Linked DNA regions of Canis lupus familiaris. The protein of the gene in region 1 binds, or shares a complex with, the protein of each later gene. Links are inferred from orthologs where the notes say so. Each region holds a gene or a part of one and is shown on either strand. Other genes may lie near its edges.

Evidence for each region. The genes of interacting proteins can lie anywhere in the genome.
Region 2: the proteins of MFSD1 (region 1) and GLMP are in contact, whole or in part, in a cryo-EM structure (PDB 8R8Q), measured with the Mus musculus proteins. The link is inferred for Canis lupus familiaris from reciprocal best matches to the Homo sapiens genes MFSD1 and GLMP. Residues at the interface, in NP_080089.1 of Mus musculus: Val288, Glu292, Lys293, Arg295, Phe349, Phe351, Leu411, Asp412, Lys414, Gly415, Tyr416, Leu417, Leu418, Val421, Ile424, Ser428, Leu432, Val435, Leu439; in NP_064387.1 of Mus musculus: Glu250, Asn252, Ser253, Ile254, Asp255, Asp256, Glu257, Pro260, Ala261, Phe263, Gln264, Arg292, Phe364, Leu367, Val368, Ile371, Met372, Ala375, Ala378, Leu381, Met382, Gly385, Phe389.

Annotation. Positions count from the first base shown.
Region 1 is NC_049255.1:25,268,001-25,273,613, reverse strand, and holds part of MFSD1 (major facilitator superfamily domain-containing protein 1), read right to left. Parts: intron 4,373-5,613; coding exon 4,274-4,372; intron 3,789-4,273; coding exon 3,677-3,788; intron 2,769-3,676; coding exon 2,712-2,768; intron 2,130-2,711; coding exon 1,973-2,129; intron 583-1,972; coding exon 485-582; intron 1-484. UniProt on the Homo sapiens protein: Lysosomal dipeptide uniporter that selectively exports lysine, arginine or histidine-containing dipeptides with a net positive charge from the lysosome lumen into the cytosol.
Region 2 is NC_049228.1:41,568,970-41,575,312, forward strand, and holds GLMP (glycosylated lysosomal membrane protein), read left to right. Parts: upstream 1-2,254; 5' UTR 2,255-2,294; coding exon 2,295-2,414; intron 2,415-2,836; coding exon 2,837-3,094; intron 3,095-3,276; coding exon 3,277-3,477; intron 3,478-3,594; coding exon 3,595-3,813; intron 3,814-4,234; coding exon 4,235-4,491; intron 4,492-4,599; coding exon 4,600-4,765; coding exon of another isoform or gene 4,766-4,794; 3' UTR 4,795-5,077; downstream 5,078-6,343. Other genes in the region: TMEM79 (transmembrane protein 79), read right to left, coding at 6,068-6,281. UniProt on the Homo sapiens protein: Required to protect lysosomal transporter MFSD1 from lysosomal proteolysis and for MFSD1 lysosomal localization.

The DNA of each region.
Region 1 (5,613 bases):
TTAAGAGATGTTTTTAACCAGGGACGACCTGATTAGGTTTTTCAACCCAAGACTGTTTCTACTACTAGCTGTTATGCTCAAAAGTAAGGGAGCTTGTCTTACTAAGTGCAGTATGAGCTTAATACTTTCCTGCTGAAAGAAAAAGCTAAGTGAATACCAACCATGAGTGCAGTTCCCACTTTTGCCTTCTGCCCTGTTCTGAGACTAGAACTCAACTTCTCACTAAGAAACGCTCAGATAAACAGGCAGTCAATGGCAATGTCAGAAACCACTTCTAATGGGTTAGCTTAACATCAGCTATCTTGCTGGAGGCTTGGAGCATCCATTGCCACAATATCACAAATAGATTAACTGACTTTTCTAGTAGTTTCTAGATTCAGAGCTGTCCCAAGAGCCTGAAGAGGACTAGATTCAAGAGATCTGGAGTTTTATATGATAATCAAATTGATACAGCAAAGAGGAACATTATAGTGCAAACACTTACAAGCCATATGCAGTTCCTAGCTGATGTTCAGGAACTACAAACGCCACCATGGGCCACAACGCACAGGCAAGCAATGAATAGGAGAGTCCCAGGAGAACCTGTAGAATACAGAAAAGGGTAAAAATCTTAACGTTAACCAAAAAAAGTGGTTTTCCTTTAATGCAAATTAGCCAATCTGCGATCATTAGCAAATATATGAATATTCATGCATATTTTATTATGATTATAACTAAAACTCACATTTGATACAAGAAAGTCCTGACTCTAATAGTATCCCTCTAGTGACAAAATACACACACAGTATGTATGTATGTATTTATTTATTTATGACATAGGCAGAGACACAGGAGGGAGAAACAGGCTCCATGCTGGGAGTCCGATGTGGGACTCGATCCCGGGACTCCAGGATCACGCCCTGGGCCAAAGGCAGGAGCTAAACTGCTGAGCCACCCAGGGATCCCTTGTCTTAACCATTTTATATTATGTGTGCTTATAACTGACTGGGCCCAGGGTACAATCAAGGACTAAGCAAGAAAATAAAGCTAATTTGCAAAAAGTTACTACCAACATTTCTGGAAAGTTAATCTTCCAATATTTATTATTTACAAATTAAGCAATCAAGGCAACACCATGCCAAAAAGTCTATTATCTTACCTCAGGTCATCAACGCCTAACTGGAGAGCAGGGTAGAAAACCATTACCTAGTGTTACTTTTTAATTATAAAGGAAGCCTTATGATTTAAGTTTAAATAAGATCATTTACACCTATTATATTGGCAAAGGTTAAAATAAGGCCAATGCCCAACATGACTAGGATACTAAAAAAATGCACATTTGTGTATTATTGGTAAAACTATAAATGGGTAAGAACTTCTTAGAGGAGAAGTTTCACAACGTCTATCAAGATGTTAAGTGTGCAAAACCTTTGCTATAGCATTTATACTTCCAGGAATCTGTCCTAAAGAAATCTCACTAAGTGCAAACATATATGTTCAAGATATTCTTTTGTTAATAGTCAAGAAATGCAGCACATCTCAGCCTGTGGTCTTTAAAATGACATTCTAAAAAAGAGTAACAAAACCCTGATGAATTTTTTTAACCTTCTAAGGATCAAGGTCAAAAGAATGCAAAATCATGAATCATGGGCAGAAAGATTTTTTTTTTTTTGCCACTTATGATGGAAGAATTTCTTTTAAAGAAGTACAGAAAAATAAATGGAACTAATAAGCATTTTAGCTTTCCTAAGACTACTTTATCTCAAATTCTATTTCAGCACTGAGATTACTATGTTAAAAAGCCAAATAAAATTAAAAATATCTTATTCATTAGTAATCAAATTTACTTTTAAAATAGTTATTTTGTAGAAACTGAAGGCATTGTTTTTCCCCTTTCACAAGCTCTACTATCAGAATGAGTATATGGTGGCTCCTGACATGCACTTTTACAGAGTCTTCCCTGAAGCCCTGCCAGCATGAACAGTGACATTACCATAGCAATCCAAGGGTTCCACAGTGTGAAGGCCAGCATGATGTGGGCAGCAAGAGTGGTCACCACTGCACACAGAACCCAGATGATGTTCTTTCCTGTTTTATCCACCAGGAGCCCAAATATCGGGGACATGGGAGCTGATATAACATATACAATACTGCCCAAAGAATATAAAAGATATTTAATAAAATCATAACAGCTTTAAAAAAAAAATCCAAGAAGTCCCTAAAACCATCAGGTAAAGCAAACCCTAGCTCATTTAATTTAGCATTCTTCTAAAACGGTCATCAGAAAAAAAAATAAAATAAAATGGTCATCAGTAAACAGTATTACAATATAGTATCTTTTTATTTTTTTTTAAGATTTTTATTTATTTATTTGTGAGAGACACACAGAGAGGCAGAGACAGGCAGAGGGAGAAGCGGGCTCCCTGTGGGGAGCCTGATGTGGGACTCAATCCCAGGACCCCAGGATCATGACCTGAGCCAAAGACAGATGCTCAACCACTGAGCCACCCAGGCACCCCCAGTAAACAGAAATTTAAAGATTAAAGAGCAGCCCAAGATTTCTTCAGTTTTCCATTAATGCAAAGATGGTCTCTCAGGATCAAGTACCAATATAATGTTGATTTCGTATTATGGATGTTAAGTTACACGTATTCTTTGTCTCTTAGAACATTTGGTTATAATTAAAGACCCACCTATGCACAAAATAAGCACTCACAGAATTAATGAAATACCTGTTTATAGCACTTGCTGCCTGGGAGGAAAATCCAAATTTCTCTGTAAAGAAAACTCTAAAATAGAGAGAGACAGAGAGAGAGAAATAAGTACTTTAGAGAGAACTGCTTTTTAATAATTAAAGGCAAAATAAAACTAAATTAAAATAATTCTAAGTTTAACCAACTTTTCCTTCTTGATATTATTTTCTTACCTGATCTAACATTCATCTTTAAGCAACTGATGTTAAAGCTTTAGTGTTTATGTATTTCACTAAATAAAATACCCTGATGTTGACTTTTTTCATTTTAAATAAACAAACAGTACACATAAGTTTTCAGAATACCAAATGAATTACTACATGAAATTAAAAGTGCTTCTTTTCCTTAAAGCGGGACTGGATAGGTTCTTTGCCAAATAATGCCTAGAGATCTTGTCTCAAATAATTTAAAACACTCTGAATTTAAAGGTTCTGATTACGAAGACACACCCCTATAAACACACTCAACATACTGCTCTGTTCGAGCAGCTGCCAGGGGAAAGGCAGAGCTAAGTGATTAAAAAAAAAAAATTGATTTTTAACCCTGGCATAATGTAGTCCTAGCAAATGCGCCCAGGCATGGCACAATGAGTCAAAGCACTATTTCCATTCTTAAGAATAGGCTTCCAAACAAAGGAATAAAGAGGAAATTAAAAAAAAAAAAAAAAAAAAAAAAAGAATACTAATCCAATGCAAAGTATTAAAATAAATCTTTATTAAGATTCAAAACTGTTATATTTCATCAAAAATATAATGAAAGTATTAAGCCAAATACTAACCCTTATAAGGTAAGAAAATCAGTTATATCCCAGGATGTAAAACAATTCCTATGTAAATGTAAACTATAACCAGAAAAGCAAGATTTATAGCTAAAAAAATTGCAATTGTGTGATTAAATTCTCATTATAATTTAGCAACAACAATGGAATGCCAGAGAATACTCACTTCCCAAGTCCAATAAAAGGGAACACTGCCACATAATAGCAGACACAGATGATAAATATTAGCCACAGGGGAAAAGAGAAGTCCTTTACATCAGTTAACTTAATAACTTCACCTTAAAAAGAAAGGGAAGAAGCTATGAGCATAATTTTGCATACCCAGGTCAAGAGTACTGATTAACCTTTGCCATTCAGTTTACAAAACACTTTTCTCAGTAAAGTACTGGAACATAACTTCTGGGAAAATCTAAAAAGACATTAGAAAAAGCAAAACCTAAGATTACTGTCTACTTTCCTGCTGTCTTCCAGGAACACTCATCATTTTCCAAATACACAAAGTGCAATCAAGAATGTAAATTCTAAAAATAAAAATAAAAAAACAAAAAATAAAGAATGTAAATTCTGTCAAAAGTGCTTAAGTGAAAAAAAAAATTGTTCTCCAAAATTTAGACAAGTTGAAACAGATTGGAAAATAAAAGATAAAAGACATGTATTAAGCCTCACTGGTCTTATAACACTACATAAGGAACTTATCTCATTGTAAATTATGTTCAAAGTTCCGCAAATCCCCAAAGCCCACTTTTCTTGCATTTAGACCTACCTGTTTTTCCTTGTGCTTTGTGAAGGATCTTTTCTGCTCTCTGATCCAAGTAAGCAAGAACCAAGGCACAGATTAGTGAAAGAATACATGTTATACCCCCTATAATAAAAAAAGAAAAAGAAAAAGAGAGAGAGAGAGAGAGAGATTTTTAAAAGTGAATGAAGGTTCCCAAGAGGCAGCACCTTACAGTCATAGCAGAAAACTTAGCAATTGAAAGGGATGCCATCTTGACACATCTAAGAAAATCTTACAAATACTAAATCAGGACAGAAGGAAAGGAACAGCATGTGGTTAAGTACTCAACAAACTACAGTCACTCTTACTACATTTATTTCCCAGCAGAAGGTTGGAGACTAGAGGGAAAAGACCATAACATACTAGTCTAGTCTTGTAATCTAGAATTTCCTTAAGAAAGTGGATGACTAGCTAGCAAATCAGTACTAATATATTAACTAAGTCTAAGCACTGATTACTGATGGATGCCAGGGAGAAAAATTATAAAAACAAAGTCTGGGGACGCCTGAGTGGCTCAGCAATTTAGTGCCTGCCTTAGGCTCAGGGCGTGATCCTGAAGTCCCAGAATCGAGTCCCCATGTCAGGTTCCCTGCATGCAGCCTGCTTCTCCCTCTGCCTGTGTCTCTGCCTCTCTCTCTCTCTCATGAATAAATAAAATCTTAAAAAAAATAAATAAAAACAACGAAGTCTGATTCTCCGATCATCTCATCTTCCTCTCGATTTCTTCCCAAAGTCTGTAACCCTTGCTCCTGCCCTTTGGCAGCCCAAAGGGCTCTACCCATCCACCCACAGCACAGCTCACCCAGGCTCTCCTTCCTCTTTGTAATCAGCATTACTCACTAATGCTAAACTCCTATCATTAAACTCAATCAGGATAAAGAGTAAATAAAGTTTATACTTTCAAGACTTTTAAAATAAGTTCAGTAAAATAAATGAATCTTTAATTTCATAATGTGGTCTATCTGAAAATTGCTAAAATAAAAGTCAGTAGATGTGGGTTCTACTTCTGCCACAAGCTGAATGATGTTGAACACAGAACTTAATCTCTTAGTTAGAAGTTCAACTTCCCCATTTGTAAAACTAGAGGCTTTGACTTGACAGCACAAATCTTTCCTGGCTCTAAAATTCTTTAAAATTATTAAGTTCTCCGTTGTGGAGAGGAGTGGAAGGAATACTGAAGAGCATCTGAGAGTAAGAAAAAGAAGTTTTCGATAAGGCAAGGGATTTGAGAGGTGAGAGAGGAAAGGAGGAGACTCTAGATTTTTTACCTGTTCAAGACTTCCTCTCCACTGACCTCTTTCTATCAAGTTATATATAAGGAATAA
Region 2 (6,343 bases), on another chromosome or scaffold:
CTGTTTGCAAAATTAGTTCCAGGCAGCTGAAAGATTCTGATACAAGAAAGTGAAACTAGAACACATGACATTTTTTACTATATCAGAGTGGGAGAAAATAAAAATTTGCATTGTGAAAACAACAAACAGGAAGTAGGGGGTTGCAGATGCGGTGATATTTGTTCCAATACAAAAAGTAATTTCTTTAAAGAAATTTTTTTTGAGGGCAGCCCTGGCGGCGCAGCGGTTTAGTGCCGCCTGCAGCCTGGGGCGTGGTCCTGGAGACCCGGGATCAAGTCCCACATCAGGCTCCCTGCATGGAGCCTGCTTCTCCCTCTGCCTGTGTCTCTGTCTCTCTGTCCCTCTCTCCCTCTCTGTGTGTGTCTCACATTAATAAATAAAATCTAAAAAAAAAACAAAACTTTTTTTTTTTTGAGATTTTATTTATTTATGAGACAGGCAGAGACATAGAGGGAGAAGCAGGCTCCCTGTAAGAAGCCCAATGCAGGACTCGATCCCAGACCCCAGGATCACACCTTGAGCTGATGGCAGACACTCAACCACTGAGCCATCCAGGCATCTCTCTTTAAAGAACTTTTAAAACTTGGCAGTCAAGGGGCGCCTGAGTGGCTCAGTCTGTTAGGCGTCTGCCTTCAGCTCAGGATTGTGTTCCCAGGGTCCTGGGATCAAGACCCCCAGGCTCCCTGCTCAGCTCAGTCTGCTTCTCCCACTCCCTCTGCCCCTTCCCCAGCTTGTGTGCATGCATGCTTTCTCTCTCTCAAATGAATAAAATCTTAAAAAAAACAACAAAAAGAATTTGGCAGTCAAGGAGATAGGGCCCATAGAAATAATAGGCCAAGGGTGTAAGCTCCAGAGAAGTGACAAACACAGAGCTAATAACATTACTTGTTAGGGACATGCATGTAAGTGTGAACACTTAATGAAGCCCCTCTGGTACGTGGCCTGCCCATCAATAGACCTCATACACAGGTCAATTTGCCCTGGCAGTTTGAATCCTGGCTGCTTATCTTCTATATTTGGATTCAAATGTATATGAAATGCTGTACATACAGAGAGATTCATTTCAAAGGGAAATTGGGAAGTACCACAGTTATGTTAAATGTATCCCTGGGACCTCCTCCTGCAGTAATATACTTAAGTGGAGAATGAGTTCCAGGTGCAGAGAACAGTCTTCAATGTGTAAGTGAAAAAGAAAAGCAAACTGCAGAAGGGTGTTTGGATTCCATTGCATGGTATTACATATATGTGCACACACGCAGTGTGCGTGTGTACACATTGTGTACAAAACATCTTTTTTTTTTTTTTTTCAAGATTTTATTTATTCATGAGAGACACACAGGCAGAGATGCAGACAGAGGGAGAAGCAGGCTCCATGCAGGGAGCCCAACGTGGGACTCGATCCTGGGTCTCCAGGATCACGCTCTAGGCTGAAGGTGGCGCTAAACCGCTGAGCCACCCGGGCTGCCTTTGGTTTAGTTTTATTAAGTGGGCTCTGCCCAGCATGGGGCTTGAACTGTAGGCCCCAAGACCAAGAGTCGCACACTCTACCGACTGAGCAGGCCAGGTGCCCCTGCATGGAACATCATTGGAATGACACTATTACCAACGCAGTAGTTGTCTCAGGACCTGGGTTGCTGGGGAATAAAGATGACAGACCCCTTTCACTACCTTAGGAAGTTTGTGTCATAGGCATTTATTATTAGTCAAAATAATTGTTTTTTAGTCAAAATAATTTTAAGCAAAAACATCCAAGAACAACAAAGCGATTTATTCAGCCAGATATGAACTCTGACAAAATGTATGTGGTGTTCTCAACTATTTATTGAAGTATCTTTTCTCCGTAATAAAACTGAGCTCTTCTGGGACAGGAACCTGCATTACTTAGGGGCTCAATAAATATGAACAACTGGCAAAATCAACTGGGCTATACTGTCCCCCGCCCCACCCCTAATTTCTGCAGATTCTGCTCTTCCTTCTCTACAGCACAGTTGGCTTATTGGGATCATTGGGATCTTGGAGTCCGACGTCATGGCCATTACAGGTAGCCAGTGTGGCCAGTTGGGTAGGAGAGGCCGTATGGCTACGCACCTGTCTAGTCTGGGGTGTCTTGCTTGGAGCCCTGCTGGGGATGACAAGCTCCTAATTTCTGGGGTTATATTCTCTCTCCAACCTCAACTGGCTCAAGGGAGTTGTCTCTTTAAGAGCTGGTGGCAGCCCCGCCCCACAAGGAGGTCAGCTGGGTGTGTGAGTCACATGACTCCCAAGTCTCTTCCGCCCTCTGCAACTGGGGCCTCATGTGCCGCCATGAGGGGCCCCGCTGGGGCTGCGGGCGTTGTGCCCCCAGTTCCATGCTCCTCCTGATTCAGCTGCTGTCTGCAGCCCCGTTTGGCCTGCTGGGGGAGGAAACTCGCCAGGTGAGGGGCTAGAGCAGTAGGTGTTCCTGGAAATGCTACCCTGGGAGGCACCCAAGCGGCAGGGCTGGTGGGGCACCGCCAGGGCCCTGGGACAGGATTGTGGACGAGGGGGACTCCCGGGCTCCCTGTCTTAAGGGGACACCTGCCAGCGCCTGACTCAGCCCTGAGTGACCCAGGTCCAGCAAGAGTTGGGCTGCTTCTCACCCCTGGCCCCGTATCCTCGTCTGCCTGCTGGAGTCAGGGTGGTTGTGGCTCTGGCCGGCTCTCCAGGCCACATCCCTCCAGCCGATGCCTGCGCCTCAAACCAGATGCCCGAGTTCCCACACCGCGTCTCTTGCCTTTCCCCATTGTTCCCCAGCTGCTCTGTCCTGTGCCTCTTTCCTGACCTCGTTCCCTTGACCCTCCACTATGCCGTATTCCAGGTGTCTCTGGAGGTCATCCCTGACTGCCGAGACCCCTCCCCGAACCTGCTCCACATCCGGGCAGTGGGTAGCAACTCCACACTGCACTATGTGTGGAGCAGCATGGGGCCACCGGCAGTGCTGCTGGTGGCCACCAACACCCCACACAGCACCCTGACTGTCAACTGGAGCCGCCTGCTTTCCCCTGAGCCTGACGGGGGCCTGACGGTGCTCCCCAAGAACAGTATCCAGTTTTCTTCTGCCCTTGTCTTCACCAGGGTGAGGAGGTTGGGGAGAGCCAAAGGGGAAGAGTGCTGAGCAGAGGGTTCACCCGGGCCCAAGGTGGGGACCGAAGACCAGGGTATGGGAAGTAGAGTCAAGCATAGGAGCCATGGGGCGGGGGTGGCTCTGGGGGTAGCTAGACTCAGGCAACTCCTGTCCCATCTCACCCTGCCTGCCAGCTGTTTGAATTTGACAGTGCCAACACATCTGAGGCGTCAGCCAAGCCTCCGGGAAAACCGTATCCCCCGTATTCCCTGGCGGAGTTCTCTTGGAACAACATCACTGACTCATTGGATCTCGCTACCCTGAGCGCCACATTTCGAGGCCGCCCCATTCAGGACCCCGCTGGGGCCTTTGCCAATGGCAGCCTGGCCTTCAGGGTAAGGGTGTGGGGAATGAGAGGAACACCAAAGGCTGTTTTCTGAGGGTGGGGGTGGTGGCCTTCACATACAGGCAGGTCCCTGCTTCCCATGCCTCGCCCGCTTCCCCCATCCCAGGTGCAGGCTTTCACCAGATCCAGCCGCCCAGCCCAAGCCCCGCGCCTCCTGCATTCAGCAGACACCTGCCAGCTAGAGGTGGCCCTGTTTGGGGCCTATCCCCGGGGAAACCGCTCCCTGTTTGGGCTGGAGGTAGCCACCTTGGGCCAGGCCCCCGACTGCCCCTCAGTGCAGGAGCAGCGCTCCATTGATGATGAATATGCACCTGCAGTCTTCAAGGTCAGTCTTCAGGCGGAGAGGCGGATGGGTGGGGGATGGTAGGACTTCAAAGAACCATGTAACCAGTTACCAACTAGTGGTGCCATTCAGCTCATTCAAATGCTGGCCACTGTGCTGACCCAGCCTCTGCCTTCAGTGGGGAAGACAAAAGGAAGCCAGGCCTGGGGGCCGGGGGTTGGGGGAGCCTGGGGACCTGGGGCTGTGAGCTGAGTATAGGCTTATGGACGTCAGGGCTGGGAAAGGACCCAGTGTTCCCGAGCCACCTCTCTTTCTACAGAGGAGGGGCAGAGGCCCTATGTAAGCAGCCTTGGGGGCAGCCTAGGCCTTTGGACAGTTGGTAACATTTGGGAGGCCGGGAAGGGTGGAGGAACTGGAGGGTGGGCAAAGGTTGGTCCTCCTCATCCTGTTGTTTTTCTCCCAGTTGGACCAGCTGCTGTGGGGCTCCCTGCCCTCGGGCTTCATGCAGTGGCGGCCAGTGGCTTTTGCCCAGAGGCAGAGGGGCCGGGAATCATCCCTGCCCTGCCAAGCTTCCCCTCTTCGCCCCACCTTGGCATACCTTCTTCCCCAGTCTCCCATCGTCCGAGCCTTCTTTGGGCCCCAGACTGACTTCTGTGCCTTCAACTTGACATTTGGGGCTCCTACAGGCCCCGGCTACTGGGACGAATACTATCTCAGTTGGTGAGGGCCGGGGCAGGCTGGGGCTTTGGGAGTGGACGTGGGGGTGCCTGGCTTCCTGGTCTTCCTGCCTAACCTACTTACCTGTCTTTCTCACTCTCCCTGCCCTAGGTCAATGCTCCTGGGTGTGGGCACCCCTCCAGTGGACGCCTTGTCCCCGTTAATCCTAGGCATCATGGCAGTGGCCCTGGGTGCTCCAGGGCTCATGCTGCTGGCAGGAGGCATATTTCTGCTGCTGTGGCACAAGCAGTGCTCCCAATACCAGCCTATAAACTGAGGCCCACTCTCTGGAGGACGGGACATTAACTAGTGGGCCTGTGTTGCTGGTCTGCCAGTTGAAGGGTTAGCTGCTCCCTTCTCCCATCTTGCTTTTCTGCAAAACCTCAGGGAACCCCCAGGCGGGGCTTCCATCATACTCTCAGGAGGGACCAGCAACAGGGTGATTGCTAGAGGTGGGGGGGGGTCCCTTAGTGATACTCCTCTGCCCTTCCACCATTTTCCTGGCATGAGACTCACAGACATAAATCAAAGGCCTTCTGATTGGTTGGCTGCCCCAGAAGGCACAAAATAGACTTATTTTCTCCCTGGTGCTTGTCTCAGTGTGGATGTTGTGGGCAGGTGTTAGGCTGGTTCCAGGAACCAGAGGCTGAGATGTGGGCATGGTAGACATGTCTCCCCTGGTGCGCCCCTTTCTCGTCACCAGGCAGACACTCCTCTCCCACCAACGGGGCAGCAGCTTCTGGTGCTCTCTGGGTCAGACGAGGGACAGACACCTGAGAGTGGGGGTCAAACATGAAGAAAGAGCCAAGGAAGACTGGCAGCCACTTCTCGTCACCCACATGCTCCCACGGGGTTGACATCAGCTGTTGGGCCCTGCAGCCAGTTCCTGGCCACCACGTGTGAGGGCACACACGCATGTACACTTGCACACACACCCCTCCCCCTCCCCTGAGGCGGGCCTCTTCTCCCCCCTGTACCTCTTCCCCTGGGAGACACATATTGTGGGCATTTCAGAGGTGGGAGGTTACAGGGGCCTAACTGGGTTGGAAGACAGGAGACCAGCTCTGGGCTGGAGCAGCTTTAATTATCTGAACTGAAGCTAAAGGTCCCACAAGGGCCAGCAGTGGAGGGTCCTGAACCCAGGCCCTCCAGAAGGTTTTCACCAAATGTGAAAGTCCTGATTGATCGGATGCCCAGTGTTTTTCTTCAGCCTGGGCAAGGTTTCCACTCTCCCTGCGGCCCTCTACTTAGACAGTGGCACAGAAACGGCCAGTTTGGCCGTAGCTCTGCCCGCTTGAGGCCTTGCAGGAGGCTGGAGGGTGGGGCAGGGTCCTGGGGGCAGTGCTGGGGCTGCTGGGGAAGGAAACACGCCCTTGCTCCTGGTGCCCTACCTGCAGCATGCAGAAGGGACATAGCTGTCCATCTCCTTCCCCACAAGAAACCAGTCAAAGTCCCTCTCTCATGACGGCCCCGGGCTCCTGAGGTGAAGGGCTACACCAACGGGGGGAGCAGGGACAGTCGGGGCAGTAGTGCAGCTTCTCCCCCGAGGTGCCAGGGCTGGGCTGAGGCTGCAGAGGCCTCAGCCCCAGGGCCTTGGCCTGTGCTCCGAGGCTGAGCGGGCATGGTCGGGGTAGTCCAGGCGGCTCTCAGCCGCAGTTAGCATGCGCTCAGGCTCCACCAGGAACATGTAGTAAAGGTTCCACACCAGCATGGCCAGCAGGGGCAGGAACGTGAGGCCATAGCCAAAGCCTCGGAAGGAGCGGCCCACGGCAAAGGTCAGCCAGTAAATGAGCCTGCGAGGGGAGGGCAAGAAGAGGTCAGCCTCCTCTGGAGGGACGTGCATCAGCTAGCTGGC